Linked DNA regions of Notamacropus eugenii. The protein of the gene in region 2 interacts with the protein of the main gene of each other region in a biochemical or structural test. Links are inferred from orthologs where the notes say so. Each region holds a gene or a part of one and is shown on either strand. Other genes may lie near its edges. The genes, in order: ARF3 and ARFIP1.

The links.
Region 1: the proteins of ARFIP1 (region 2) and ARF3 form a complex in vitro, tested with the Homo sapiens proteins (2 studies listed by BioGRID). The link is inferred for Notamacropus eugenii from reciprocal best matches to the Homo sapiens genes ARFIP1 and ARF3.

The regions. Positions count from the first base shown.
Region 1 is NC_092874.1:220,779,361-220,795,686, reverse strand, and holds the start of ARF3 (ADP-ribosylation factor 3), read left to right. Parts: upstream 1-9,347; 5' UTR 9,348-9,541; intron 9,542-16,326.
Region 2 is NC_092877.1:150,887,411-150,904,235, reverse strand, and holds the start of ARFIP1 (arfaptin-1), read right to left. Parts: upstream 7,596-16,825; 5' UTR 7,442-7,595; coding exon 7,361-7,441; intron 1-7,360. UniProt on the Homo sapiens protein: Plays a role in controlling biogenesis of secretory granules at the trans-Golgi network. Mechanistically, binds ARF-GTP at the neck of a growing secretory granule precursor and forms a protective scaffold.

The DNA.
Region 1 (16,326 bases), on a different chromosome or scaffold from region 2:
ACTAAAGTTGCCCAGGATTATAAGCTTGTCCTCTTTTGGCACATTGACGATAAGGGTCTTTAGGTCTGCATAAAATTTTTCCTTGACCTCATCAGGGTTTGTCATGATGGGAGCATAGGCACTGATGATGGTGGCATGACATTTTTTCTGCAAGTGCCAATCTCATTGTCATGAGCCTGCCATTCACTCCTTTTGGCAGGCATGCCAGCTTGCTGATCAGATTAGTTTTGATTGTAAAACCTACGCCAGCTTCACGATGCTCCCCTTCACTGTGGCCACTCCAGAAAAAGGTTTATCCAGCTCCAACTTCAGTAAGCTGGCCTTCATTTGCCAACCTTGTTTCATTCAGGGCTGCTATTTGGGTGCAATACCTGTTGAGTTCTCTTGCAATAGGAGCAGTTCTTCTTTCAGGTCTACTGGATTTTGTTATCTATTAGTGTGCTCACGTTCCATGTGCTGATGGTGAGTGGAATCAACTTTGCAAATGTTTTTTTACATTTTTTATGTTTTGACCACATAGTGGGATTCCCCACCTGCCATGTAATCAGGCGAGGGTTGGGTAAGCAGGCAATGTTTAGGACACCTTTTCTAGCTCCCTTCTTCACACCAGGAGGTGAGCAGTGCAATCCTTGAAAGGCTGCTCAGACACTCGGGGGCTGCCGAGTCCCACTGCTGCTTCCAGTGAGAAACGACCCTATGGCCAGGGCTGCCTATGTGCAAGGTCATGACTACAGCTCCCAGTGTATCCACACCTGCTACTTCATCACTTGCCTATTGCCACAGGACTTTGAGGCATAATAGTGAAATGGTATGGGTGATGTCTTTTGCTTCATGTGTAAATTGGATTTAAGTAAGGCAGAGTTGCTTGAAGTCGTCAGCCTCACTCTCTCCTCCTGAGTCATCATAGTCTGGTGGCAAGACAGAGTCAAGATGGCTGGTGATGGCTCAGGATGTAGTGGATGACCTTAGTGTCTTTGGTGTCTAACCAAGCTCTAAGCGCTACACATTGCCTGCTTCATCTGCCTTCATGACCATTGGAACAAATTGTTCTCATCTGCCCATTCCACCAGATGAAGTCTTCACATGTTTGGAGTAGATACCCTCCTAACTCACCAATGGGTTTGAGAACCCTTGGTTACCCTCAACCTGGTTTGGTCCATCTGCTTAAATGGTTTACCGGGGTAAACATACCACAGTTATTTAGCCATTCCCTAATAATGGGCATTTTTAAAATTCCTAATTCTTAACTACCACAAATATTGCTATTATAAATATTGGTTTATGTGGAGTCCTTCCTTTTGTCAGTGACTTCTCTAGGGTATACGCATTGTGGTGAGCCAAAGGGTATGAACATTTTAGTCCCTTTATTTGCATAATTTCACATTTTTTCCAGTACTGTCATATCAATTCACAGCTTCACCAATAATGCATTAGTGTGCCAATCTTTCCACAGCCCCTGCAACATTGACTATTCCCATTATTTTTCATCTTTACTAAACTGATGGTTATGAGATAATGTTTTAATTTGAGACATTTTAATTTGCATTTTTCTTATTTTTAGTGTTTTAGGATATTCTGTTATATGTATGGATGTTAATAATTTGCAATTCTTTTGAGAACTCTTTGTTCATTTACTTGATGTAAGGGGTAGGGAGCCACTTTGCCCCTGAATATAATATTAGGTCATACGGTAATATGAAGTGTTGAAGTTTTGACCCTTTCAGACTTAGAGTGTCTATATGAATATAGTATTTGAAACCTTCAGTATCTCACACCCTTATGGACATATTCATAGATTGTAAAAGGTGTAAAAGTGGCTCAGTCACACCCAGGTGATGCTAAACAGAATTGTAGGAAGTTATGCAACCTGCTTACTTAGTCCACTACAAATTTATGCCATCTAATCTCAACTCAAGGCAATTGCAAGGCAATTCTTTTTTTCTCTTTAATTAATTCTCTATTCCCCTTACTACATACAGGGACTGTTGTAGACCTTTTCTTCTGTCCTCAGGCTTCCCACTTCCTTTTCTCTACTTGCTCAGCTGAGACCCTCATTCATAATTTATGAAGAAAATGGTGGTAGGAATGAAAACAGAGCAAATTTATGTTACAAAGCAGTATTTATCCAAATCACTTGATATTGTTTTAAAAAATAGAAAAGTAGATCAATGCAACTAGATAAAGGAGAAAGGAAATGATAAGACTCAATAACCTAGTGTCTGGTAGACCTGGAAACATTAATGACTTAGGAAAGAAATTTCTATTTGATAAGAGCTTTTGGGAACACTGAAAAGCAGAAATAAGCTTTAAGTTCACCTTTTAGACAATTTTCTAGAGTAAATTCAAAACAGATAAATGATCTGAATATTAAAGATGTTACCATAAAAAATTAGAAGAAAAAAAATTAGAAAAGAAGCAGATCTTGTTGTCTACATCTATAGATAGTGGGTGAATTTGTAACCAAAGAATAACATAGATAATTTTATTGCATTAAATTTGAAAATTTTTGCACATGCAAAATTAAATCATCTAGGATAAGAAGGAAAGCAGTCAATTGGGAAATATCTTTGCATCTAATATCAATGATAAGGTTTCTATATTCAAGATGTATAAATAACTAATCGAAATATGTGACCAGAAGCCATTTTCCAATAGTTGTCATATATTGTAAATAGGAAATAATTAAAAGAGGAAAGTTACTAGAATTAAAAGTGATTGAGAAAAGTTTCCCAAAGAAGGTGAGATTTTAGTTGAGACTTGAAGGAAGCCAGAGAAGCCACGAGGTGAAGATGAAGTGGGAGAAGATTCCAAGCACAAGAGGCAGCCAGAGAAAATGCCCAGAGCTGAAAGTTGTGGAAAAACAAAGGGGCCAGTGTCACTAGACTGAAGAATACACAAGAAGGAGAAAGATGTAAGAAGACAGGAAAAGGTGGGGATGGAGGGCTTTGAACTCCAAGTAGAAGATTTTACATTTGATATAGTGATAAGGAGCCAATGGAGTTTATTAAGTTTATTATTATTATTAAGTTTATTATTTCCTGTACTTTAGGAAAATCAATTTGGCAATTGAAAAGAGGATGGATTGGAGTGGGGAGAGACTTGTGCAAGGCAGACCCATCAGGAGGCTATTGTAATAGTCCAAGCTTGGGGCCTACAAATAGCATGTAGTATTAGAAGGTGGTATTAAAAAAATAAGGTGCCATATTCCAGAGATGTTGCAAAGATGAAATTGACAGGTCTTGACAACAAATTGGGTACAAAGGATGAAAGATAGGGAAGAGCTGAGGATGAATTCTAGGTTTTGAGCCTTGTTGTTGTCTTTGATGTTGTCTGTGATAATAATTAGGGGTGAAGAAGGGTTTAAGCGAAAAAATAATGAATTCCTTTTTGGATATGTTAAGTTTTAGATATCCTGTTCAAGATGTCTAAAAGGCACTTGGAGATGAAAGCCTGGAGGGCAATAGAGAGGTTAGAGAAGAATAGGTGGACCTGAGCATTATCAGCATCCATGTGAACTAATGAAACCAACAAGTGAAGTTGTATGGAAGGAACAGAGGATCCAAGACTGAGTCCCGTGGGAAACCTACAATCATTGGGTATGATTTGGCTGAAGATCTAGCAAAGGAGACTAAGAAAGAGTAGTCTGGTAAGTAGAAAGAGAACTAGGAGAGAGTGGCATCCTGAAAACCTAGAGAGAAGAGAGTATCAGGGAGAAGAGGGAAATTGATTAGCAGGCTACAGAAAGGTCAAAGAAATCACTGGATCTGGCCATTGAAAGGTCATCGGTATATTTGGAGAGAACAATTTTGGTGGAATGATGAGGTTGAAAGGTGTATTACAAGTTGTTAAGACAGTAAAAGGAAAGAAAATGGAGGCAAATTTTATGGATAGTTTTCTCAAAGAGCTTAGCCATAAAAGGAAGAAGAGATATAGGATGTTAGTTATTGGGGACAGAAGAATCAAGTAAGAGTTTTTTGAGGATGGGGAGACACGGTGTCATCCTTTATGTCTACATCATGCACCTATTTTGACCTTATCTTGGTATATGGTGTGAGATGTTAGTCTACATCTACTTTGTGCTCTATTGTCAAAGAGTGAGTTCTTATCCCAAAAGCTTTGGGTTTATCAAACACTAGGTTACTCTGGTCCTTGACTTGTGTACCTAATCTGTTCCTCTGATCCACCATTCTATTTCTTTGCCAGTACCAGATAGTTTTGATGATTACTGCTTTATAACATAGTTGGAGATCTAGTATCACTAGGCCACCTTCCTTTGTATTTTTTCTGATTAATTCCCTTGATTTTCTTGACCTTTTTTGTTTCAGATGAATTTTGTTAATTTTTTTTAGCTTTATCAAACAATTTTTGGTAGTTTGATTGGTATGGCACTGAACAGGTAAATTAGTTTAGACAGAATAATCATTTTAATTGTATTGACGTGGCCTATCCATGAGCAATTAATATTCTTCCAACTGTTTAGATTTGACTTTATTTGTGCAAAAAGTATTTTGTAGTTATGTCCATATAGTTCCTGGGTTTGTCTTGGCAGGTAGACTCCCAAGTATTTTATATTGTTTACAGTTATTTTAAATGGAATTTTTCTTTCTATGTGTAATCAAAAGGGATTATGTAGACTGCACAGTACTTTTACTTTAAGTTCAGGTTCGGATCTTAAGATACAATGATGCACTACAACAAGCTTAATACTCAATTAAGTTTTATTACTACAAATAGTGGAAGTTAGCAAGTGTATACATATAAACAGTAGATAATAGTTAAGACAGAATAGAAAAAGAAAAAATATACTTCACCAGCCAAGTTTGAGCTCCAACACTTGGGCAACTGGGGAGGCTAAATGGGGGGAGCAGTCGAGAAAGGTCCTGGCTGGGAGAGCAGAAGCAGGCATCCCCACTTCTGTAGCAAAAGCCCTCCAAAGATTCATGTCTCACTCAGTCCCTTTATACAAGCAACTTCAGGGAAAAGAGGACTCTTAGAACAAAAAAGGAACTTTGGCCCAAAGTTCCAGCTGTTGACTTTGATCTAAGTGCTCAAGGATTGGCCAGGTCCTTGAACACAGACACCTCTTCTCTTAATGAGTTTTACGACTCTTAAGATAAGGATCTCTTTGCCCCGGCTACATGCTTCATTAATTCTGCTGCTTCCCCTGGCACTCCCAGTTAAGCATATCAACTTTAAGTTACATTCCTTATGTTAGGTCATGTGGCAATCATGCAAGGGGCTGGGGAGAATCTTCCTCAGTTTCCCCACACCATGTCTTGCTGCAGGGCTTTGTTGCTCATATAAAGAAATGATGAAGATAGGTTTGTCTTAGATCCTGCAACTTTGCTAAAGTTGTTAATTATTTTGAGTAGTTTTTTAATCGATTCTTTAGGGTTTTCTAAGTATACCATCATATCATCTGCAAAGAGTGATACTTTTGTTTCTTTATTGCCTATTCTAATTCCTTGTATTTCTTTTTCTCCTCTTATTGCTATAGCTAACATTTATAGTGCTATATTGAATAATAGTGGTAATAATGTACATCCTTGCTTTACCTCAATCTTATCTGGAAGGCTTCTATCTTATAAGAATGGGGAAGACATATGAATGTTTGTAGGCAACAGGGAAGGAGCTTATAGATAGAAGATAAGTGATAAAGTGGGAAAGACAGAAAGGTCATTGTGTTAGAAGAGACAGAACGAAATGGCATAGTTTGTGTGGGTAGAGGAGTTTCCTTGTTAAGGAATAAGGCCACCTTTTTGTGTGAAACAAAAGTGACAGAATAGATAGAGGCAGAAAGCACCTGAGTGATAGGAAATGAGGAAAAAGAGAAAAGAGGGACCTCACAGAAAATGGTCTTTTTTTCCATAAAATATGAGGCAGGGTTCTTAGCTGAGAGAATATAGGGGTGGAGACATTGTGGAAGGTTCAAAGAGAGATGATAAAAAAAAAAGTTTGAAAGAGTCTCTGTGGAAAGTAGGATAATGAGTTGGTAAGGGAGATTACCTTGCAGGAGTGAGGGCCCTATTGAGATTGTATAACATATATTTGTAATGGACCTAGACTAATGGATAGTTACTTGATTTTCTCCATCTTCCTTCAGCAGCATATGTGTAGGATTGAAGGGAGCCGATAGTGGGAGTCATCCAAGACTAAGGCTTGGCAGGGCACAATCAGGGCATAATCAATAAGATAGGGGGACCAGGGACTCAGGAGAAGAGAACAGGGCAAAGTTGAAATATTTCATCAAGGGGTCAAGATGGAGAGAGGAGAGAGTGGTTAGTGAAGGGGTCATGGCCTGAGAGAGAACTGAAAGACTGGGGAATTGGACGTCATGGTGTGAAAGAACAGTATGTTTTGGTAAGAGAATGCAGAAGGAGAGGTTCAGAGAATTTCAGAACTCTTGAACATAGAAGTGGTGCAGTTGTGGATGTTGGCAAGATCAAGAATACGACCATCTTCGTATGTGATTAAGGTATAGTGGAGAAGTATGTCATGAGAAATGAGTAGGTTAAGGAACTGAATGGTTAGGGTGTTTGAGGGAGAGTCGATATGTATGTTGAAGTCTCCTAGTATGAAAGCAGAAGTTGGGAAGGAGAGAAAAAATTGTGAGCCAGGTACTGAACTCGTTGAGAAAGGAAGTAGAGTGACCTGGAAGTCTGTAGGCAACAGCTATTGGGATTTTGATTGGATGGAAAATGTGGATTGTATAGATTTCAAAGAAGGAAATGTTACTGAGTGATGGAAGTAGGGAGAGAACCTGGATGTAGCAGTGGGGAGCAAAGTGTATTCCACCTGTCTTGTCTCAACCAGTGAACTACATGAAATGAATGAAGGTGCAGCCAATACTAAAAAAAGTGGCCAGGGAGGCCGTGTCATCAGGAATGGGATTGGGATGGGGAGGAAGTCTTGGCAATTGCTAGAAGATGGAAACACTAGGGAGAGGGGGAAGATGTAAGATAAAGGGAAGTTTGTTTTCTATGGAATAAGCATTCCAGAGAGCACAGTAGAAGGGGTGGATAGTGTTTGGTTGACACTTCAAGGTAGGAGGGTTGAGGAGGATGAGAATATAGAATCAGGTGATGGAGGATGGGGAATGGAGGGTGCAAATGATGGCCTACATAGGTTAAGAATCACTGGGACATTTAGAGTAAGACCAAGAGTGAATATGTCAATCATTGAGTTGGATAGCTCTACTCCTTTTTCCAGAGAAGGCTAAAGAGCAGGCAGGAGACACATGAGGTGGAAGGCTCAACTCAGGGGACAGGTTCAGCAGGAAGGCCCATCATCACAGGGAATATTGCTCCTCTTCTCACTTGTCACTGGATCTAGCAGTTGTTTGAATTATTATACGTATGTGAATATACATATATGACTTAGATTTATTCAGTCAAGTCACTCCAACCCATGTAAAATAAGTGATAAGATGGGAACCAATCAATAAATCTCTAAGCTTTAGACTAAATGTAAAAAGTCTTTGAAGGTCAATGGATAAAGTAAAAGTACACTATACAGAAAGTATCTTCTAATTACCTGATAGATTTCCTTGTGCCCTCTGGATCCTGTATGAAAGCATCAAGATAACTGGAATCAGGAAGTTCCAGTGAATGGCAAGCCAGGAGAGAGAGATGCAGTAAACCCCTGAGAAGGAACACATGGGTTGTAGCCTTGGTCTGAATCCTCCACCTCTTCTATTCCTTCTCTTTGGCCCAAGGAAAATCTTGCAAGCTAGTCTGCAGGATGTTGGACGTCCAATCTTTCCATCTATGTCCTAGTGATGACATAGAGAACCATGGACAGAATGGACGTAGATTCATAGTCCCACAAGAAGCCCAGCAAAGAATCTCTACAATAACTCAAGTGAATTTCTTGAGCATCCCATAAGTGGGAAAGAAAAGAAAAAACTTCCAGCAACGACCAACTTTCTTTGTGACATATGCTCTCTAAACTTGAACCCACTTTCCCCTGGATTCTGTGTGTGCTTGTGGAGAGAATATGTCACAGACTTTTGGAGGGGAGGTGTTATATAACAACTGTTCTACCTTAGGAAATACCTTGGCCCAAAAAGCTACTTAAACTTACCTGAACTGATGCAAAGTGAAATGAGAAGAACACAGAGAACATCGTACACAGTAACAGCAATATTGTACCACGATCAACTGTGAATCATTTAGCTATTCTCAGCAATACAATGATCTAAGACAATTCCAAAGGACTCATGATGAAAAATGCTGTCCACCTCCAGAGAAAGAACTGATGGAAACCGAATGCAGATCAAAGCATACTCTTCAAAACTTTGTTTTCTTTCTCAATGTAACTAATACAGAAATATGTTTTGCATGACTGCATGTGTATAACCTATATAAAATTGCTTTCTCTCTCATGAGGAAGGAGGGGAGGGAGGCAGAGAATTTGGAACTCAACAGTTTAAAAAACAAATGTTTAACAAATTAACATCTAATTAGAAAAAATGAAACATTTGGGGGGAAAAGCTACTTAAATCTGCCTGAGCAAAATTACTCTAGACTGATCATTTTGGGGGGAAGCAGTCACCAGATAAGATTAGAGAATCATCCGCCTATATCTGATAGAGTACTTCTGGAATCCTGAGAGGGGAGATGGAGATGTAGCTTTGGAGCTTTGTGCTGGGATTCATCTATGACAAGGGGAGTTAAAATAAGGATTCTCAGAATATATATTTATCTACACACGTATATCACACATATATCTACATATATATGTGCATGCACATAGCAAATAGGCTCGGAGCATGCGTGTGCACGTTACATACATGTTATCCATATTGTATGTACATAGGTGTGTGTACACAGCTGGGTGGTACAGCGGAGAAAGTGCTGGGATGCCTAGTGTGACCCTGGGCCACAACCTCTGCCTCAGTTTCCTCATCTGTAAAATGGGGACCACTATTAGCGCTTCCTTCGGCGGGCTGTTGTGAGAATCACACGAGGCTTAGCACGGTGCCAGCTACATCAAGTTTTAGCCAGTAGTAGTAGTAATAGTATATACATATATATGTACGTATGTATGTGGTCTGCACCCACAGGCCACCTAGACGACATCTGCTCACTGCGTCCACACATACCTAGGTCGTGTCCGTGCGTGCGTGTGTGACACTCCACGGGAAGCCCCGGCCCCGGCCCCGGCCCCGGCCCCGGCCCCGCTCCTCGCCAGCACCGCCCCCGCCGCTCCGCCCGGGCCCCCGCCGCCGCCCTCGCTCCAGCCCCCCAGGGCTGCAGCCGCTGCCATGGTGATGGATATCGCGAGATCTTCCCTGAGCCGCCTCGCAGTTCTCGCAAGATCTGAGGGGGGGGGGGGGGAAAGGCGGAGGGACGCAGGGCCGGGGAGGGAGGGAAGGAGGGCCGGGGAAGGCGGGGGCCGTCGCTCAGCGCTTCCGGTGCGAGGTGCAGGCGGGCGGTCGGGCTGTCGGGCGGTGGGGCCGGGGTGCAGCCTCGGCGGAGTCAGCCGGGGGAGCGAGGCCGAGCGGAGGCGGCGGCGGCGGAGGAGCCGGCCCCCGGAGCAGGTGACGGGGCTGGGGCCGGAGATCCCCTCCGAGAGGTGGCTGTGGGGGGAGGGGGAGACGGAGGGGAAGGGGAGATCAGGGGGGACAGCACCCCCTCCCCCCATGCCAGAGGGGCACGAGGCGGGCGCCCACCCCCGGAGAGAAGACGAGGGGGGGCTTGGAGCGGGGGCGTCAGGCCCCGGCCCCCTCGTCCTTCTTAAGTGGGGACGGACGGACAGACTGACGGACGCAGGCTCGCTCTCCTGTCATTTCGCGGGGCGCGGGGACGGGTGGCTGGCACCCGGCAGCACTCGCTCCCTCCCTTCCACCCCCTCCCCCTCCCCCAGCTGGGCTTGGGACGGGGGAGGGGAGGGGCTGCTGGGGCGGCGGAGGGAGGGTCCCTGCCCTTCCCCCCTCGCCCGAGGGGGGCACCCCCTCCCGAGGCTGGGGCCGGTGGGGGGCGGGGAGGCAGGGCGGCGAGTGGCTTCTCGGGGGCCTGGGGAACACTTGTGGGGGAGTGGGCAGCCGGAGGTGGGGGGGAGGAGAAGGGAGGAGGTTCTCCGCCTGCTCCGGGGAGGGAGGGAGGGAAGCAGGGAGGCACTCCCTCCCCCGGGCTAAGCGGGGGCGGCCTTCCCTGGAGCCGAACGGAGGGGGCATCCTCGAGCTGGCCCCGGGTTTGCATCTTCCAATCCCATTCCTTGCCTCTGGAAAGACCAGGATTCCTGAAGCAGAAAATGGTGCCTTTGCTTCCGAAGCCGACCGTTGGGGGCAGGGGCAGGGGGAGGGGGAGGGGGAGGAAGTTCCCTTTTAAAATGGGCCATTGGATTAGGAAGGGAAGCAGCTCCGGGTGGGGAATGAGCCTCCCCTTCCCGAGCGTCCTGGGCCGTGTGGCTTCCCCAGCCTGCCTTTCCCCTTTTCGCTGGACGTGGGAGAGGGTTCGAGGCGAAAGGAAACTGTGAGGTAATCCCAGTGAGAGCAAGGTGTAACCGAAAACCTGCCCCCAGCTCCTGTGGGATTTGATCTCCTGGCCCGCGTGCCATGAAAGTTTTATTGGGAGGTAACGTGCTGCTGGGGTCCGATTGCCTGGGGCGGGTGCTGGCCTCCTTGCGGACGACCCTTTCATCCTCACCAGGGGGCTTGGGACAGGTGCTTCGAATCCATCTTGCCAAACGTCTGTTTCGCGGACTAGCCTGGTCGCTGAGAGGGAAAACAGACACAAAGGTGGACCATTTAGATCGTTCTAACAGCTAGGTCGGGACCCATGGCATCTGGGCCCGGAGTCTCTGCAGGAGAGGGATCACTTAACACATTTTCCCCACCCCCACTTCTCTGAAGCGCACTCATTGCCCGCTATTGTTTACCTGTTCTTGTGTGTATGTGTCTTTTTACCACCACATTATAAAATCCGTCTTTGCCCTTAAAGAGTTTATAATTTTTTCTTTTCTCTCCCCCACTCCATCTTACAGTGACCAACAAAATCTTATGTGCACATAGTAGGAATTCAGTTTATATTCGTTGAAAGAATGATCACACTGAGTGAATGATCAACCTTGGACACCTTCTGTCAAAGATGTCTTGATACCTGATAGAGATAAAGAAGAGAAGTGATTTGTCTAATTTATCTAACTCTTCTGAGTTTCTGGGAGGTAGCCAAGTGGTAGGACTAGGACCTCAGGCTGAGATCTTTGAACTTTGCCATTATGCATGCTTTATGCATTGCAGTTTGTGTATTTTGTAATAGAGCTTTCAGTCTTTCTATCTCTAAATAAATTATCTTATGATTTTGTTTCTCAACCTCACTGTGAAAAACAGATATTAGGGATCATTTCTTTTATGATGGGAAAACTGAGGCACAGCAGCCAAGACCACAATATTTCTCTCTTACTATTTTCTCACAATTTGCAGTTTTCTTCTCCTTCAGATTAAATCACTCTTAATTACAGTTACAGTTAGCTATTAGTAATAATAGCTAACATTTCTATAATATTTAAGGGTTTACAAAACATATTCTTTACAACTACTCCATGAGGAAGCTAATATAAGTATTATCTCCATTTCACAGATGAGAAAATGAGGGCTCCAAGATGTTAAATAATTTGCCGAGTGTCGTACAATTTATATGTGACAGACTTGGAACTTAAACTCTGCACCTATTGACTACAGATCCATTCTTATTTCCTAGATTGCTCTTGTAATCTTAAAATGGTATCATTGGGTCTGAGGAGAGGCTGAGAGAGCCATTGCCAAAAATCTGGTGGTAACAGTGGATCAGCAGCTTCACATTAGTCTAGTGAACAGGTTGCAACCGTTGTGGTAAAAAGAAGAAAAATGGAAATTATTTTTAAAGTCTGTTTCATAGAGTATACACCTCAGATATTGTTTTCTTAGTGGAGGGATCACAAAAAGAAATGGTTTCAAGATAGGAATTTAAGTTAGGAGAAATTCTTAATAATCAAATGATCAAAATGTAGAATTGCCTTTGCTGATGATTTTTAGAAACAGGAGAGGCGAACTCTAGTTAGAATTGAGGTATATTTGGTTAAAGCTATCCGGTGGTTTGATCTGGGGGGGAGAAATCACCATTTTTCCTCCTTATACCTAATATTTTTATCCGTATGAAAGTCTTATTAAAATGAAAATAAATGTTAGCCTTGAAAAGAAAATGTTAAAAAAAAATGTTCATATACACCCTGGAATGTATGTGAAAATATGAGGAAAGGAGTGTTTATCGTCAGGGCCTTATATTTAATAAATTTAATGTTTTAGCAGCAGCTTTTTATGTTGTCTCACGTCGTGAATAGTTATCCTCAATAATAACGATGATGATGATGATGATAGCTTGCATCTATGTAGTGCCTACTATGTGCCAGGCACTGTGCTAAGTGCTTTACAACTTCATTTGATCCTCATAACAACTCTGAGAGGTGGGTGTTATTATTATCCCCATTTTCAGAAACTGATGTTTAAGTCACTTGCCCAACGTCACACAGCTAGTAAGTATCTAAGGCCAGATTTGAACCCAGGTCTTCCTCATTCCAGACCCAGCTAGAGTCTTTCCGATGCACCATCTAGCTGCCTTCGAGCCAAAAATACCTGGGTTCAAGTTTTGCCTCTGACATAAAACCATTTGGAAATCTGTGATTGTCCATAAGATAAATTTATGGTCTATCCTAAGGCCATAAATTTCAGAGAAGGTGCCAGCCTGTGTTGTTAGAGGATCTTTCCTCACTAGGGAATTCCCTATACCAATACATTTACAAATCCAGGTCCTATTCTTTCATGAGGAGCAAATTGTGGAGCCCATGGCAATTGACTTGGCATTCTGAAATAATGGAATGGCTCATTCAGAGAAAGTGCTAGTTTTAGAAATGAGGCTAGATGACAGTTAAATGGATTCATAGCAAACTGAAAGATCAGACTTATACAGCAGTGATTAATAAATCAATATCTTTATAGATACAGGTGTATGATGACTTGCCTCAGGGACCTCTTTTTGGCCCTTTTCTGATCAATATTTTTTTTTTCTGATCAATATTTTTAACAGTAAATAGGATGAAGGGATAGATGGTATGCTTATCAAATTTGGAGATCACACAAAGCTGAGAGGCACATCTAACACAGAATCAGGATTTCAAAAGATCTCAGTAAGGTAGAATAATGGACTAAATCTAATAGACAAAATTTAATAGAGATAAAAATAATGTTCCATGTTGGATTTTAAAATTAAATGAAGCTTCCTGGTGGAGATGTGGTTAGATATCAATCTTATGTTAAAAAGATATGGGGGCTGATGGTGGTTTAGCCTTCTAGCTCAGTATGAATTAGCATCATAGTGTGGCAGCCAAGAAAAAAGGATTTGATTGCAAGGCACTGTGCTATAGGATACAAAGATAGAAATGAAAACCCTTTCCCTCAAAGAGCTTATATCCTATGAGGCAGAAACAGCATTGTTTGAAAAACAGGGTTGTGCAAAGAACACTAATGACTGTAGGAAACAGGAAAGACCTCCTTTATCAGAATGACCCTGAGCTGTGCTTTGAAGGAAGCTAGGAGGCAGAGGTTTGGAGAGAGAGAGTGATAGGAATGAGGAACAGTGATCTTAGGCCTTTTTAATAGAAGTATATTAATTTAATAGAAGCATATTAATTTAATAGAAGCATAGAGAAATTTCAACCACACCATACTCTGCTGTAGCCAGAATACCTCTAGAGATTTGTATCTAGCTCTGAATGTCACCTCTGAACAAGAAAACTGACAAACTAGACCAGGGGTGGGAACCTGTGGCCTTGAGGCCCTCTAGGTCCTCAAGTGTGGCCCTTTGACTGAATCCAAACCTGTTTATTCTGTGAAGTTTGAATTCTGTCAAAGGACCACACTTGAGGACCTAGAGGGCCTCATGGGGCCTCAAGGCCACAAGTTCCCCACCCCTGATACAAGACCACATTTCAAAACCTGGATATAGTTGCCAAGATAGTGAGAAGACTGGAGATCATATTATACAAGGACCAGTTGAAGCCCGTCAGGATATTTAACTTGGAGAACATATTAGCTATCTTCAGTTACTTGAAGGACTTTCATGTGGAAAAGGGAGATTAAACTTAGAATAAGTAGGGCCCCAAAGGATAGAGCTAGGTACAGTAGGTAGAAGTTGCAGACAGGCAGATTGTAGCGTCATATAATGTGAAACTTCCCAATAATAAGAGCTCTCTGAAAGTAGAATAGCCTGCTTCTGAAGAAGATTCCCCACCAGCAGAGGCCCTGGATCACAGCATTTAAAACTGGAAGAGAACTCAAACATCATCTATGCTAACAATTTTTTAAGATAAGGAAACTGAAACAAAAAGAGATGAGGTGATTTGTCACATACATACTAAAAGTAGAGCCAGGCTTCTAACCCAATTCTTCTGATTTTAGATCCATTGCTCTTTCTACTAACCCAGATCTCCTTTCCACTACAGAGAGGATTCCTATTGAGGCATAGGTTAGATCAGATGACCTCTGAAATGCTATGAAGAGCTAATATGATACTGAGCCTAACACAAAAGGACTATCAAATTTCCTTCCCATTTTATTTGTTATCACTCAGTTCTTTATCCCATTTTTTTGTTTGTTTTAGGTTTCAATAAGTACAGGTTATCTATGCGTTGGTCCATTGTTTTCATTCAGTAGTCCTATAATTGTGTGTGTGTGTGTGTGTGTAGATTGTAAACTTCATGGGGCTATAAATTATTGTGTTTATATAATTCTCTTCATCTGATGTCCAGCATAATATGAGTTTCAAATGAACACAAAGGCTCTTTGATGATTATAACAAATTTGAAGAGAATCCTCATAAAAGGGAAAAACATAAAGGACTGGATATGTAGTCTGGGAAAGAAATGGCAGAGGACTTCTATTAAAGGTGGTGATATGAAAGATTCTAAACAAGTCTATTTGCCCTACCCCTGAAAAACATCTCAGAAATTTTGAAGAGCACCAGATAAAACAAATGATTTAACAGAACTAAAAGAAAAGCACCAGTGAGTTTCTCCAACTTCCTGGGACTCTGCCATGAGACTGCAGAGGACCTGCCAGCTAAAGGTTCCTGAAACCAGTGCAATCTCTGGTTTTCATTTTTTAAAATTTGGCCAAAATTATTAGAACTGGAGGGCAGAATGAAAACAAAAGAACCCACATAACATCTACTACCTGAAAGAATCCCCAAATTCAACATGTACAAAAATAACATAATCCAAGTCCGGAGCTTTCAGGTCAATAGAAAAATAATACAAATAGCTAAAAAGAAAAGAATCAAATACCAAACAACTACAGTCAGTATGTCACACAAGATTATGAAGCAGTTACTTAAAGGAAAAGAAAGCTTGAGATTCATTATACTGAAAGGCAGAAATAGAAGATATATAACCAAGAACGATTTATCCTCAGAAACTAAGTATAACCCTAAAGGGGGGGAAAATGGAGCTTTGATAGAAGGCTTTGAATAACTCCTGATGAGAAACTTAGAGCTGGGTAGAAATTTGAGATATTTAAATAAGGTTAAGTGGTGATCAAGTCCTTATTTTGTACTAGTGGGAAAGGAAGCCATTGTTCCTTCAGAATCTGTATCTTCAGAATTTAAAAGATGAACAAAAGAAAAGAAATTCAAGAAATGGGAATGGTTTTGTGTTTTTGCTTGTTTAAAAAAAAAGGGGAAATACACTAGTTAAGATATGAAGAAAAAAGGGAGAAAATTATTTTTCATCACTGGGATGCATCCAAAAATATATAAACATGAGGTTGGAAAGAGTGGGCATTTCATGAACCTCACTCTTATATGAACCAAGCAAAGGAAGGTCAAGCACACATATGCATTTTTGTGTACACACAGTTTACTGTAGAAGTACATTAAAATCAATAGAGAAATAGATGGGAACAGGGAATGGAAAAACTTGGGAGGGAATAGTCCCAAGCAAAGCAAGTTTTAGCTACATAGTATATAACAGGACTAAAAGGATAGAGAAGATGAGAGCCAGTAGTCTGGGTCTGGACTACAATCAGAGTATTCCAATTGTATGTTACTAATTTTGATCATGTCTTCGTTTTCTCACTTTTTGTGCAGAGGAAGATTTTTGGGGAGAGAGAAAACAATGTAATAGAGGAAAAATAACACCTAAATAATATTGTGGATGTAAATGGAATGAACTCACCTTTAAAACAGAAGAGGGTGGTAAATAGATTAGGAAGCAGGATCCAAAATATTGTTTTTATAAGAAACATAATAAATATACACATACAGTTAAAATGAAGGGCCATATACACTTATACTT
Region 2 (16,825 bases):
AATGTTTTACATGACTCACAAGTATAACCTATATCAGATTGTTTACTATCTCAGGAAGGGGATGGGGGAGGAAGAAGGGATAGAATTTGGAACTCAAAACTTTAAAAAAAACAATGAATGATAAAAATTGTTTTTATATATAATTGGGGAAAAAATAAAATGTTAAAAAATTTTTCACTAGAGACAAACACTATACTTTTAAAAATCATGAGTATAATGTATTTTCCTTTTTTGACTTAGTTACCTGTAATATGTCAACTATGATGAAATTCATAACACATGCTGCAATTATATAAATTATAATTTATACGCATATCCTATTGCTCTTTCTCTAATTACTTCTCTCTCCAGTACACAATTAATCTCAGGTGTTGATGCATTTATTACTATCCTCAATTTGTTTAGTTTTGTTCTGTGCTCACTTATGCTACATTTATTTCTTTTTACTTCAAGGGAGGAAAGAAGTTGAAGAGTATGGCAATGTCAAATGTGGCAGAGGTGTCGAAGAGAGAAAAGACAAAGGAAAAGCTACTAGATAAGACTATAACGAGGTCCTTAGAGAGAGTTGCAGGGAGGATCAAAGCCAAAATAAAATAAGGGTGATAAAGGACTAAAAGCAGAAAACATAGTTTATTCTTCAAAGTACCAACTGAATAGACAAAAAAGAAATTGTACAACAGCTCAAGGCGCTGGCTATGGGGAGTCTTCTTTTGAGAAAGGCACAGTGACTTTTAGTCGATAATCCTCACTTCCTAAGTGAAAGGCAGACCTCTCATCTCCCAAATACCTACGGCACCCAGACCCTGAAGTTTGTAGCAGATCAAAACAATAATTATAAAATTCAACGAGAAACAACAGTAAATGATTTCTTACAAACTAGAACTTCACAAAAAGTCACTCAGAAGCCCATGGACAAAGGGCTCTTCCATCAAAAGGAAGGGTCGGCCAGAACTGAGATGGAACACAAGGCCTTCAAAGCTCCCGGTCTGCTCCTTGGGAAAAGAAAACCCCAAGCTGTACAGCTAGGAAGCAGCCCATAGGGACGTAAGCAAACTGAGTACACCCTACAGCAGTTAGATCTGGTCAGGGGCAGTGAGATCACTAAACCCTAAGGGGCTAGAGATGGCTTGAAGATCAGGCATTCCACACCTCAGAGATAGGGAGAGACTCTAGGAGATAAAGGTCAGCTCAAGAACTCAGAGCATTACCAACCCAAGAATTCAGCAGGGGGCAAAACCTGGCCAGGACTCAAAGTCCCAATTCAAGAATTAAAGTTAGAGAAATAAGTAAATCAAAGAAAATACTGACAAGTACCAAAAATAACTACAAATCTATGCTTGTTCAAAATGACTTCAGAAACTCCACAATAACAGCAAAACAGAAACTAAAGGGGGGGGGGGGGGCGGAAGAATCTGAATTTTTACAAGGCCCACATAAATACCTACAAGAAATGAGGCGAGAATTTAAAAATGAAATAAAAAGTCTGGAGGAAAGAACTGGAAGATTTAAGCACCTGAGAAAATGGTAAGTTCTTAAAAACGCTTCTTGGTTAAGACAGTTTCCAATGAAAAACTACATGGGGCTGAGTCACACTGAGTTAGAAGATTACATGACATACAACTTGCTGCTGCACAATACGGTTTATTTTTTATCCGAATATAAACAGGGAACCACCAGATCCTAGATTTAGAGCTCGAAGGAACCTCAGGATTCCTGTATTCCAACCCCCTCATTTTACAAATGTAGATCAGAGGCCCAAAGAAGGGAAGTGACTCACCCAAGACTCAAAGTCAGGGCTGACTCCAATTCCATGGTTCTTTCCATGGTATCCCACTGCCTCAGGTCCTGGAGTCTATACAACTCACATCAGAAATGAGGAAAATGAGGCTCAAAGAGATGAACTGAATGGTTCAAGGTCACCAGGTAAGACATGGCAGATTAATGTATAATGTATAATAATGTATAATAAAACACTGTCATCTGCTGTCTCACCTGGGCTTCTCTAAGTATTAGTATATCCCACATAATACTGCCTCAACTAAAACCTTGGTTGCCCTCTTCTCTTCCCCCTGCCCTGACCTCTACAAATTCCTTAAGAGAAGGTATTATAAGATTTTTGTCTTTGTGTCTCCAACACTTGGCACAGTTAGCCCATAAGTATTTATTACACATCTATTACTGCCAGGCATTGCTAAGCACTGGGGATGCAAAGAAGCTGAAAACAGTCACCATTTAATAGGGGAGACAACATTCAAACAACTATATACAAACAAGATAAATTATACACAAGAATAAATTTGAGACAATCTTAGAGGGAAGGTGCTAGCATTAAGATGGAATGAAAAAGCTTCTTTCACAGAAAATGAGATTTTCAGTTGAGATTTGAAGCCAAGATGTGGAGATGACAAGGGAGAGAATTCCAGAGATAGGAACAGTCAGAGAAAATGAAGAAGTGGAGTGTCTTGTGCAAGGAAGATAATATCAGCAGATCAGAAAATACATGAAGGGGAGTGAAAGGTAGGAAAGGGCTAAGTCAAACAGATCATTTGAAATGTGATCCAAGAGGTAAAAGGGAATTCCTGGTGTTGACTCAATGTAGAAGGGTGGATATAAGAGACATGACCAGACCTGTAGGGCAGGAAGAGCAGGTGAACCGATGAGTGAAGGACAGACTGCAGTGAGGAGACACTTGAGTGAGACCAACCAGCTGGATGCTACAAGAGTGAGGTGATGAGGTTCTGAATGTCAGAGGAGAGAAGGGGTAATATGTGAGAGACACCAGGAATGTAGAAAAGACAGCACCTAGCAACTGATGAGATCTGTGGAGTGAGAATCAGGAGCCGCGGTGAGGAGCCTGGGTGACTCAGAGGATGAGGGTGGTACCCTAACTGTATTAGGAGAGTGAGGAAGAAGGGGCTTGATAAATCTAAATAAATCAATGGACTCACAATACTGTCATTAATACAATGTAACCAAATTCTACCAAAACATTGTGAAACTAGATTTATATCACTAGACCACGCCTTAGAACTCCTCTAAATTTAAATGTTCCTGTAATTGGTTACACCTAACATTATGTCTCCTGGAATTCATTAGGATATTTGAACCAATATGAATATATTTTCATATAAACAGATATATTTATATACAAATAGATAAATATTTAAACTTGATCCATATTAGTTGGCCTATTCCTAGCATAAGGCAATCAGTCCAGATTTGGGGAGTGACCTTGGATTAACTATTCTCTAGTCCTGCAGAAGTGGTCTTTGTAAAACCGCCTTTCACAACTCTTACTGCTGGTCTTTGCTACCAACTTTGCTGCAAGACCAAATAAGGCAAAGGAATAAAACAGGAAACACTGGCTATCATTCGGTGTGGGGGGACTAGCCCTTCACTCTGATGAAAGCTACTGTAGTCCTTCACTTTTAAAGAGACATCAGCAATAATCATGGAAGCTAGAAATCATGGGACCCAACTGCAAGTAAGCAAGAGGAATAATTTTTTTCTCCTCTTCATTCCAGGCCATTAAACTGGATAATAATCTGAGGTAGGAGGATGAAATATGCCCACAAAAAAACTAAGAAAAAACAGGATAAAGGAATTTTCTTGGTATGATGATGAAGCATGATTAAATAGATGTTTGAAGAATTATAATGTAACAGAATAAAGAATAAAAACCTTCCAAAGAAATTAACAGATACTGTGGCAATTTGGATTTCTCTCCTTCCTCAAATTTATAGTTATGCTCATGCATCACGTTACAATTATTCACTAATTACCTGTCCTACACAATTAAATTTATTACAGTCTTCTACTGCAGCTCATGAATTCATGAGTCTTCTCTCTTCAAACCCTTTAAAGGCAGGCACCATGTCTTATACTTCTTTTCTACTTTCACAGCAACAGCACCAGGCACAACGTAAGCACTTAAATAGCTACTGATTTTTCCCATAACTTTAAGAAGAATTCCATAGCTCCTCCCTCTAAGGAACCATAATGATTTTTACACATACTGAGAGGCTGCATACTGTGGTGGAAAGGGCCCTAGCCTTGGAATCAGGAGACCCAAATTCATCTGCCAAGCTCTGACATTTACTACTTGTGTGACAATGGGCCAGTCGTGTAATCACTGAGCCAGTTTCCTCTCTTTGAGATGGGGATGATAACACTAAATGCTATCCATCCCCCAGGACTGCGTGAAGAAAGCACTTGCTAAATTGTAAAACACTAAAACTAAATTATCATTCTGATGGAAACCAGCAGAGAGTTTTGTTCTCGATAGGTACTTGATAATTTGTTGAATTCAACTCAACAAAATAAACTTAAACATCTAATTCAGAAACTACAGGAATGTCACCTAACAGGTATGCTGTAAAACCAAGTTAATAATTCCTCCTCTTATTCACATTTCTACCTTTATTTCAACTGACTTATTCCCAAAATATTAAAAATATATCACAGAAGAACTAAATTCAACCACAAAACAGAAAAGGAAGAGTTCATTACAAAAAAGAACCCAGCAATTTGTGGCATACAAGAAACACACTAAAAAACTAAGACATATAGTTAAAATGGATAATCACATAAAATGTATTTATACTTCAGGTAAATAAAAAATGCAGAAGCTGCAATCAGAATCTCACAATTTCATACCAAAAAGAGATAATGTCAAGAAGGCAAAAAAGGAAATTTCATTATGTTTAAAGACACCATTGATAAGGAAATGACAACATAAAACAAATAGGACAGTAAGACAAGAATTATAGATGGCTTTGGAACATTCCTCTCTCAGAACCTGAAAAATCTAACAGAAAAATGAATATGATAAATACAGAAAAACACCGTAAGACTTGTATGAACAAATGCAGAGTGAATTAAGCAGAGCCAAGAAAACAATGTATCAATGACAACAAAGCAACTGAAAAGGAATGCTTTGAAATCAATCATCAAGACCAGGCTTGGCCCCAAGGAGAGATGAGGAGAAACTTCTCCCTCCTCCTTGGAAAGGTGGGAGGAACAAAGCAGTGGCACACCACACTGGTTAGTTTCACTAAATTTTTTGACTCTAGGTCAAAATTATCTCCAAATTAATGCTAAGTCATTATTAGCCTTTTCCCCTTCTCTTTGTCTCATGCGCTTAAGGAGTTTTCCAGCGGGTACATAACCTGTGAATTAAATATATGACTATACACATAAAGACTGAGTTAATATCTCATCTGCACACCTGTACTTTTTGGCTTACAAACAGGTGAATCTCCAGATGTGGCTGGACTTGCTGTTTTGCTTGGATTTGTCTGGCATCAAAATCAACTAACTGCTAAAGGAGATCTCCTTTTATGTGAATGCTTGGCAAAAAACACAAGTGGTGCTGAAATTTTTAGCGTGGAAGAACTTTTTTGAATTTCATGCTTTATCTTGGAACAACTATGCTGACATTTGCACTGATGGTATAAAACTAATGGTAAGTAAACTTTCTGGTGTCTCAGTATGAATCAAGGCAGTGGCATCAAACGTAGTAATTGTATTCTTCACTGCCACGTGCTCGAAGTAAAATAATAAAAATAAAATAAATGCCAGTTTCCCTTAAGAATGTCTTTGATGAAGTAGAATCAAAATTATGAACTTTATGAAATCTTGAGCCTTGAATACACTGCTTTTTAACATTCTGGGAGAGAGAAATGGGAAGTGCACATAAAGCCCTTTGGCCACATACCAAGGCATGATGGTTCTCTGGAACAAAAGCATTTGCACGAGTTTAAGCTATGTAAGTTGAACTGCTTTGTTTATGAAACATCTTTTTACTTGAAAGAACTGACATACAAACTCAATGTATTGTTAATCAGACTTGGGTATTTCTATTTGGAAAATAACTTCTCAAAAATAAAGCAAATCTGTCCCTTCAAGGAAAACGATTGACAATATATATATATTTTTTGCCAAAGATAAATTCAAACTTTTGAGGGAAAAATTCCAGCTGTGGAAAACTTATATCTACTACCCTGAGCTTGACAACTTTCCAATACTTAAAGACTTTCCTGATGACATTGGTAGTTATTAACCAATCACAGTTAACTAATTGTTATTAAGTAATCATATTAACAAATATGTCTTTTTGATACTGGATAATGAAATGTATTCTTTGGAAGATCTGCATAATATAAATATTTCCAAATGAACATTGCATGATATTATAAAATCATGCATGGTATAAAAGATCCATTCAAAGGCAAGATAGAACAATGAATTTTAATGTAGCATCTGAGTATGAAAAGTTAATTGATATGGTTTCTGATTCCATATTGCAACTAATTTTTAAGAAATTAACACTGAGTTTTGGTATAGTATCTAAGAAGAATTCCACGATTATCTGAAAGGGCTATTAAAACAGTTTCCTCTTCCATCTATACATCTGTGTGAAGGTGGATTTTCTTTATATATTTCAACCAAAACAACAGAATGTAACAGAATAAAAAGATATGAAAATCCAGCTGTCTTCTATCACGCCAGACATTACAGAGGTTTGCTAAAATGTGAAACAATGACACTTCTCACTAAATTTTGCTTTGGAAAAAATTATTTTTCATAAAAACTGTAACTTGCAATCAGTTTATTGTTTTTAAATGAAAAAAATTAAAGATTTATCAGCTTTACTTTTTAATATGGTAATTAAAAATTATAACCCACGTAAAAAGTTCTTTGGGGTCTTCAATAATTTTTAAGAGAATAAAGAGTACCAGGGAAGAAAGCGTGTTAAAAACAATTAAGACTTTTTCTGTCTAGCCACATACGACAAAAGTAGGGATAATGGGAAGAAGTTGTAAAGAGATATATTTAGTTTGATATAAGAAAACAACATCTTCAAGACTCATATAAAAATGGAAAGGGCAGCTTTGTAAGAGAGTGTGTTATCCCTTGCTAAGAGTCCTCCAAGAAAGGCACATGTGCACTTACAAGGAATGCTGCAGAAATAATTCTTATCCTGATATAATAGATTGCCTAGCCTCTGAAGTCCCCTTCAATTCTGGGGAGTTCTCTCCCCACAGTCAGAAACAAAAGTAAAATTCATCTAAAGGAAGGGACGAGGGCAATAGAAAAAGCAAAGATGATATAAAAAGTGATTAACTGGTCCCTAAATAGATCTCAGCAAAGGGGATGGAGGGCTGGTGTTGGATTCAAATACCATCTCCACGCAGATGATTCTCAGGTTTACTTGTCCAGTCCTAAATTCCCTTCTGACCTCCAATCTTACACCTCTGCCTACCTACTGAACATCCCCAAATGGCTATCTCATACACATCATAAGCTAAACATGCCCTGTTTGGCCTAGAGGCTGATAGGCTACCCGAGCCTTTCTTACCTGTCGTCCAGGTCTTCGGGGATCAGCCGGATAAACGTATTGAGAGAAGAGACTTTCCAGAGTCGAACAAGGGTTAGGCATTATTCAGGGTCTTGGTTACATGTGCAGGGTGAATTCTTCCTCAGGAGAGAGGAATCCTCCTCCCCCCCAAAGGGCAAGGATCGTACAGCAAGAGGATGGGAGCGGGAGAGGGGAGGGACCCTCTGCCCTCTAAGGGCCCCTCAGCACAAAGAGCGCCTTCAGGCTTTCCTGTCCCTACTTAAGCTCTCCCGCCGCGCCGCCCCCGCCCCCCCCCCCCCCCCCCCCCCCCCCCCCCCCCCCCGCATAGTTTGCACGTGAATACCGTGCATGCTCTCAGCCTTTAGCTAGTCAACAACAGGTGTGCTCAGACCCCGGGCCAATCTCAAGGGTGGGATGCTCTCCCCAGCAAGTTTCCCACTGAGAAGAGGCGGAAATGTAAGAGATAGCCCATGTCTCACACCTCAATTCCCAGCTGTTCCCTGGGGGGCCTCATGAGAACTCTGAGGTTTAGAAGTCCTCACCTTTACCTGCCCCTGAGTGTCCACGTGAAAACTGAGCTTACACCCCCAACAATGCCCCAAACTGAATTCATTCTCTTTCCCCTCAAATTCTCCCTTCTAACTTCCTGAGAGTAGTACCATGCTCCCAGTCACCCAGGCTCCTAACCTGGCTGTCGTCTCCAACTCTTCACTCCCATTGCACGTATATAATCAGTTGCCAGTTCTTCTCTTTTCTACCTTCAGAACCTCTCTCAAATATGCCCCTTCTCTTCTCTGACAATGATGCAGCCTCTCCCCTGGCCGACCAGTTTGTCTCCCTGACTCAAGTCTCCACCCCTGCTGCCCTCCAGTCCACTCTCCTCTAAGCTGGAAAATGGTCTCTCCTTCAAGCACAGATCTGACCCATGTCATCCTCTTCTCCCATCCCTATCCCCAAGCCTCACTCTCCCATTCAATCACTCCTTGTAGCTTCCTGTTAGCTACAAGATCAAATATAAAATCCTCTGCCTTTTAAAGTCCTCCATTACCTGTCCTCTTCCTACCTTTCCAGTATTCTTCCTTGTCTTTAAAGTGAGGCCTCTAAGGTTCTTTCCTGCTCCAAATCTATAATCCTTTAATATAATTCTGTTACTAAACAATCATTTCTAAATTTGGATGAATACAGCAAATTTTAAATTTTCATATGTGTACTAGGAAAAAAATGATTAAATATGCTCATACACTATTAAATATCTCATACACTATTAGTGCTACTGACAATGTTATTTTCATGCATTTGGGAGTTACTCATAATAATTAGGTATCTTCCACAATGGTTACATTTATGTAGACTTTTTCTGGCAACTTATCCCTATAACAGGGGTGGAAAAAACTTTAATACTATGATATCATACTCAGAGGAAATCTATAATTAACATTAAATTTCAAATATCAATTTGGATACTTGAATCCTCTAATCTGATATGTAACAAAAGGAAAAATTGACAGAGTGAAACAAAAATTGGTCATCCAAATGACTGCAGCAACTGTTATTAGTAAAATTTTACTAATCGTAAATTGATAAAAGGAAGAATATAATCACTTAGTAATTAGTAATGAAGACTATAAATCATTTAGTTCAGTAATTCCCAACTGTTTTTTCAATACTGTTGGTGCTTATTAATTAGCATTCATGAATTCTATGCCCCAAATTTAAAACATTTTGTTTTAAATAACAAATATATGATAAGAAAGAAAGGCACTGTTAAGTCAAAATTTTTCAAAAATTAAGAATTCCCAATACAGATAAAATTTAAATCCCTGGAAAAAGTCCTATCTATATATCCCAGAAAAGGGGTAAAAACATGCCAGAAATGCTAAAAATGTACTTTCTTAAAGATGTGACAATATTTAAATAAACAAAGCATGAATCAAAAGGTGCAAATGACAATGAGATTTTATCAACGTAACTAACAAAGAGTAAGAATTCCAACAATATTTAAAGTTGCAGTAATTAAAACAAAAAACAGAGAGTCAGCCTTAAATCTTTTCATCTTACCAGTTAATCAGAAACCAAAACTAGAGAAACAAAGATCATATTAAGTTTCTTTCCAAACCTGAATATTTCATTTACTCATTCAACAAATACACACTGAGTTCTAATTACAAGCAAGGTAGAGTTTGGAATATAATAATGTCCAAGACAGTCCTGATTCATTAGCATAAACATTTGTCCCTACAATTAAATCCAAAGCTTCCCTTTTCTGCTGAAATAATTTCTAAATATAGCATTTTAACTTAGAGATATTTATTACATAGTCCTTAGCTGCCATTAGTTCACGGATCCCAAATGTTGTAGACTAAAGGAATGCAAACTTAAAATGAACAAGGCAATTAGAAATCACAGGCCAAGGCCCTTGTAAAAGTCACCTGGCCACGTTCCCTGCCTTCAGGGACAAATGATCTCCATAGACTGAACTAACTCTCATTAACCACACCAATGTCTTATCACCAAGTCAAAAAGTTTATCCACATATTCAACTAAATTCTCTCCTGTTTTTAACTTCCTTTGCGTCTCAAACGACAGAAAAAAAGATCAAATGTATGAAATGTTTTTAGAAGATTGCCTAAAATGAATCATGTATTTATTCTCTTAGCCTCTATATATCACTAAGATTAAAAAAAAAAAATCTGAAAGCTTTTAATGCTTCCCCATAGAACCTAGTTCCTATCCCTTTAATTCCCTTAATCAATTTCCTAAAAATTTCCTCTAGCTTCTCAGCAAAATGTTGATAATTGATAAACTAACTATAAGTAAATTAGACTCACTTCTAAAAAATCATATGAGAATAGACAAATGTCCTCTTCAAGATAATAATTTGGCTGCACACATATTCCACAGATGGTAACATTGTTCAAAATATAGTTAGAGCCATTTCTTCTTTTGACATCGAGTTCTGATCCTGCAATACATTTCTTTGAATATTCAAAGACAGCTAATCTTCACCTCTTTGACTTTAGAAAAAAGCAAAGTATAGTTAAGTGGGTGATCAAGCTGTTAATACTGTTTTAAGTTTAAAAAAACAGAGAAAGGGTGACTATAATGGAGAAAAACTGATAATCCCATGTACCTCATAAACAGGTTTTGAAGGCAATTCCAAAAGAGGAATTTCCAAAATACTTTGAGTAGCACCACTGTAATAATTCAAATGTGTACAGATCCCAGGGTGTCTACTCTGATGAACACAATATTCATCTAGATATATAAATTCTAGCATACTTGTTAAATTTTTTTTTAATCTAACTCTTTAGAGTCATACTGTGAAATCAGGAATTGACATCTCATTTTTTACTCTTGAGCATTGTCAATTAGGACTAAATCAATAGCGGTGGGAGACTCTGTTAGGACATAGAGAAAAGAAAAAATAAAGAGCCTGAAGGAGAAGGGGAAAGGAACAGGGAGAGATACAGGAAGGAGGGATAGAAATATGGGAGAAAGAGGATTTTGTTGGACATGTGGATGATGGCTACAAAAAAAACTGTCATGTTAATTATTGACATCCAAGTCACAGATCGCTTAGATAAGCTATAAAAAACACATAAAAAATTATTTATGGATCTTTATATCTCAATTTTGAGTCAGCTTTTTCTGCTCAGGTTGGTCAGTTATATAGCTCTCTGACTACATACAGTCCTGTCAGTTCTTCCACCCATAACATTATACCCCATGCATCCCCAAGAGTTTTTCCATTGTTTTTTTAAGTACTCTTTGAATTCATCAAGATCATTCCGAATTCTTCCTTAAAATTCAAGCTCCTACAAATCTATTACACATATTTTCCATTCCCTCGTACCCAAATCACCAATAAAAATGTTGCTTGGACCTTAGACTAATCCTTGGGACACTTCATGGCACTCTCCCAACTTTATAGTTTTATAACTAATTTTGGGTGTGGCCAACCGTAGAGTGAAGATGGTCCTCTGCGAATTTCTTGATGAAAAAACACTTTTAAAAAAGAAAAGGGTCTTAAAACTCATCTAGTCCTTATCTCTTCAATTCAAGAATATGGGATATTGCCTATGGGAGACTCATCTCCTAAGGCAGCATACTTGAGAAATGTCATGTTGTTGGATGGTTCTTCCTTCGGATTGGTTGTAGTCTATCTGGAGCTTCCACCTCACACAATCTAAATGTAATTTCTCTTCCACATGATTATCAAAGTCCATGATCATGAGACAGCCAGATGGTGTGGATTGAATGTGGAGCTGGAGGTCAAGTAAAATTGGGTTCAAAGCTTACATATGACAATTACTAACTGTGTAACCATGCTTAAGTCATTTCAACTCTGAGTCTCAGTTGATTCTATTTGCAAAATGAAGATAAAATATGTGTAACGTTTACATCACAAGGTTATTGAAGCTCAAATGAGATATCAAATATAAAATCCTGTGAAGTCACTGATGGGATTAACCAGCATTTATTAAATGCCTTCTCAGTGCCAGGCAATGTTCTGAGTGCTGGAGATACAAAGAAAGGAAATTTTTTTAAAATCCCTGTTCTCAAGGAGCTCGTGCTAACTGTCTAATGAGAGAGACAACATACAAACAATTATGTACTAACAAGATATACATAGGATAAGCTGGAGATAATTTTGGAAGGATGGCACTGGCATTCAGGGGAATTAGAAAGGCTTCTTGCAAAAGGTAGAAGCCAGGAGGTGGAGAGAGAAGAGAAAGTCAGTTAAAAGTAAAGGAGTTGGGAAATGGAATGTTTTGTGCAAGAAACAGCAAAAAGGTCAGTGTCGCTGGATCAAAGAGAACATGGAGCATGTGGAGGGGAGAAAGATGTATGAAGCCTAGAAAGGAGGGAAAATGCCAGGTTATGATGGGCTTTAAAAGTCAAACAAAGGATTTTATATTTAGTCTTGGACATAACAGGTAATCATCAGAATTGACTGAATAGGGAGGGGCAAGAGGTAGGAGCTGAATAGGTCAGTCCTGAACTTTAGGGAGCTTTATGAAGAGCAGTTTGACAACCTAGTGAAGGATGGATTGGAGAGGGGGTTGGGGGAGGAGGAGGCTGGGAGAACAACCTGCTGGCCAAATGTGAGGTGTAAAGACATCATGTCCTCCAGTTTTTTCTTTTCCAAGTTCAGCATACCCATTTCCCTTGGTACAATCTCCTTTGACATGGTTTCAAATCCCTTCATCATCCCAGTCATTTAAAATTCAGCACACAGAACTGAATATGGTACTTGGGTATCATCTAACTGGTGCAGAGTACAGTAGGACTATCACTTCCCTTGTTCTGGACACTATACTCTATTAATGCAATTGATATGCAGTAGATCTGCAAGTTGCCACATTACACTGCTGATTACTGAGCTTCCAAGTCAAAAAATCCCTATGTACTTGTGATTCTCTTTTATTCTATCCTTGTACATCTGATTTTTTTTAACAGAAGTGTTTGCATCTTTATTAAAAACTGTATGAGACAGAAGAAAAACATTTCATAGCAATCCCTTCCTCTTTGTTTTTGTCACTTATGATTGAAGAAGAAAATTAAATTGGCCTGACCAGATGTTTCACAAAGTTGGCAGGAGCAGACAGAATTATTCTGTTTCTGGGTTAAAAGGTCTGGTTGCTCATAACAGAAGATAAGTTTCCAAAGCAAAACATTTCAAATTTCACCTTTTTGAACTCATTCGTTTATTTAATAAGTATATGTTAAGCATCTCTCATCTGCTAATTACTATGATGGGTGGCGGAGGAGAGAGAGATCCTTTTTTTTTTTTTTACATCAGTGCCTGCCCTCCAGGAGCTTACATTTTCCTCAAAACACCGAACTCAATACACCAGAGTTAGCACTAAAACTCAGTTGACCAGAAAACCCATCAAACACCAAATGGAAAACGTGCAGAATAGTAAGAAAGCGGGTCAAAATGCGATGCCCAAGCTTCCAAGAACATTCTGTTAACCTTCTCTAGCAAAGCAGTGCTTCCTCAATCTGGAACCACAAGAAGTCCCACAAGGGGAAATGGAAGCAGGAAGTTAAAACAGCATTTAAACTTTTATCTGAACAGTCACTTACACAAGGTGAGGTCTCAGCAAGTATTCCACAACCAAAAGCAAATTTCCAATCCCTTTAATACATCTCTTCTAGATCTCAAGAGGATTTCTTGCCTGTGGAACCACAGACAGTCATACTTAGAAAGAAACCTCAAAACCACAGACCAGGAACTAAAAAGCAAACTGACAAATTTCTTTTTTTATGAAGGTTAGTAAAATTTGGGCGTTAGGGTTATCAAAGATCTCCGTATTTCACTCTCTTCGGTTCAAAAGAGGCCAAAAATAAGTCTCGGTCAGAACCAGACAGTATAGCAAACAGCTACATCAAAGAAAAATTAAGGCTTCCGAAAAAGAGGAGAAAAAACAACTTTTAGAGAGACTTCCAGGTAACACCTGCCCCAGCCCGATTCGAGCCGTGAGAGTGGCGACCTTTAAGCACAAGCGCCTGGCTGAATGTAACTAACACCAGCTCACGGGGCTAGGGATGACATTGACGCGTTGAAATTAACTAATGGAATGAAACTGAACTGAATGAAGGAAATCAACGCTAATGAAATTGAAGCTCGCTCACACCTACACAGGCTTCTGCAAGAAAACTCATCCCTCTGCAATGAGTGGAAGGGCAGTTTTAAACACGAGTGGAACTCACAGAAAAGGGGGAGGGGAGGGTGTACTAGGAGTTTTAGAAACGGTCCGGAAGGGACCAGGACTGAAGGTCCAGGATCAAAGGTTTTCAGAGCACAAAGGCTGGATGAAGGAAGTCATTTTTTTAAAAGTGAAAGGAAAGGAGTGCCTAGAACTGCAGGCAGAACTAAACTTGTTCCCGGGTAGTTAAAAAGGGGCGAGCGGGGTCAGGAGCAAAGGAAAGCCCGGAGAAGCCCCAACCCCTGGGGGCACCGGCGGGGAACGTCGGGCACGGGCCGGGCACTGACCGGCTTGTCCCGCAGCGCCTGCCACCTTGGAGACGCATCCCCGACGTCTCCCGCAACCCAACCCGGGGCGCGGAGCAGACGGGATCAAGTTGCACCCACTTTCCCCCGAGTTTGGGAGCCAGCAAGGAAGCCCCGAGACCAGCCCCCTCTCCCCCGCAGCTCCCGGCCGCGCGTCACGGACCTGGCCGGGGCCGGAGGGGGCCCGGGCTTCTCGAGGACACGACGTGTCCCCCGCCCGCCCCCGCCGCTGACCACGCCCCCGGAGCAGGGGCCGCCGCCACCGCGGCTCTCCCTATCCCCGGGTGCCCTGCCCGCGGGCGGACCGCAAAGGAAAGGTGCGGGGCTGCAGCGGCCGCGGCCCGGCCCGGTTCCTCCTCCTCACGCACCTTGAGCCCGGGGGGAGGGGGACGGGGGTCCCCGAGCCACCAGCACAGCTCTCTGCCTCTCCTAGGGTCGGTCCCCCTAAGTCCCGAAGAGCCGGACCCGGAGCCGCGGAGCCGGAAGTGAGGAGACCGGAAGCCACGTTGCCCCTGGCCCTAGCCCTAGCTGGCCTATCTTTCGGGTTCGGCCTGGCCCCGCCAGAGTCCCGATAGTGGCCACGCCTCTCGAGCCGGGAGCCCCGCCCACTGCCTCTTCCCTCCGCCCAGGCCTCCCTCTCCTCCCCCCCTGCCCGTTCTCCCCCATCCCCGCTGGAGGCTCCGCCCACTTCTCCGCCTTTCCTTCCATCCCCCAAGTCTCCCGGCAACGGAGGCCCCGCCCACTCCTCCTTCCTCCCCCTCCCGCCCCTGCGGAGCGACCGCGGCGGCCTTAGCAACCACATCCGGGGACTCGCTGGCTGTTGCTCGGGCGGGGCGCTGGCTCTCCTCCCGCCCGCCCGCTGGATGGGAGGGAGACCTCGCAGCAGAGCCGGAGCCTGGGCTGGGCCGAGAGCTGCTGGGCGGGGGGTGGGGCGGAAAGGAGGCCACCCCTCCCCCGCCCGGGACCCCTCCTCCCGAAGCTTCGGCGCCTTGAGCATGGTGACCCAGCTTGTCTATATCCAGTCGAACTTTGAACCCATGCCCTCTGACCCCGGAGGAACATTTATGAAGCACTTTCTGTGTACTAATCTACACTAACCTTCCATCTCCTTTCCTGAATCTGGAGTTGTAATCCTGCCTCGGATTTCCCCATCTGTAAAGGGGGGATAATCACAGCATCTATCTCCCCGCCTCATCCTGCTCTGTTGCTTGCAGCCTGGGTCACCTTGGGCAGGTGAACTCACCCCCCGAGTGTCCTCATCCCCTCAGGAGGCTCAGATGGAAGGACAGACAGCTTTGCCCGCGGTGTTCCACGGAGGTGGGGAAGTGTGGACAGTTACCAAGGAAGTACAAAGTCTATACAAGGACACTGTGGTGGGGGGGCCAGGAGCTGGGCGTGGACCCTGCGAATAATGGTGGGGGCCACCTAGGCAGAGGTCTGGTCTGACCCACCAGAGAGTGGGCTGCAGGACAACGGCATGCCGGAAGCCTGGCCAAGCAGGCCTCTGTGGTCCTAGGAGGCAAGAAGGACCCGCCAGAGCTTCTGGAGACATGCCGTCAGACCTGGGCCTTGGGCTAGGCCCAAGCGTGGAAGACGTGTGGAGATGTGTCTCCTGGAGACATGCCGTCAGACCTGGGCCTTGGGCTAGGCCCAAGCGTGGAAGACGTGTGGAGATGTGTCTCCTGGAGACATGCCGTCAGACCTGGGCCCTGGGCTAGGCCCAAGCGTGGAAGACGTGTGGAGATGTGTCTCCTGGAGACATGCCGTCAGACCTGGGCCTTGGGCTAGGCCCAAGCGTGGAAGATGTGTGGAGATGTGTCTCCTGGAGACATGCCGTCAGACCTGGGCCCTGGGCTAGGCCCAAGCGTGGAAGACGTGTGGAGATGTGTCTCCTGGAGACATGCCGTCAGACCTGGGCCCTGGGCTAGGCCCAAGCGTGGAAGACGTGTGGAGATGTGTCTCCTGGAGACATGCCGTCAGACCTGGGCCCTGGGCTAGGCCCAAGCGTGGAAGACGTGTGGAGATGTGTCTCCTGGAGACATGCCGTCAGACCTGGGCCCTGGGCTAGGCCCAAGCGTGGAAGACGTGTGGAGATGTGTCTCCTGGAGACATGCCGTCAGACCTGGGCCTTGGGCTAGGCCCAAGCGTGGAAGACGTGTGGAGATGTGTCTCCTGGAGACATGCCGTCAGACCTGGGCCCTGGGCTAGGCCCAAGCGTGGAAGATGTGTGGAGATGTGTCTTCTGGGCTGGCCTTCTGCGAATGACAGCTGTTACCTCAAGTCCTTCACGCATTCACAGCTGGAGAGCTACCTAGGCTCTCTGTCCCAGCCACACTCTTTCCCTTTCATTCCCCTTTCTACTTTACTGATCTCTTCATTCTAGATCACTTTGGGCAGTGGAATGAGCCCAGGATTTGGAGTCAGGGCCAGAAATTTGGGGCTCAGAT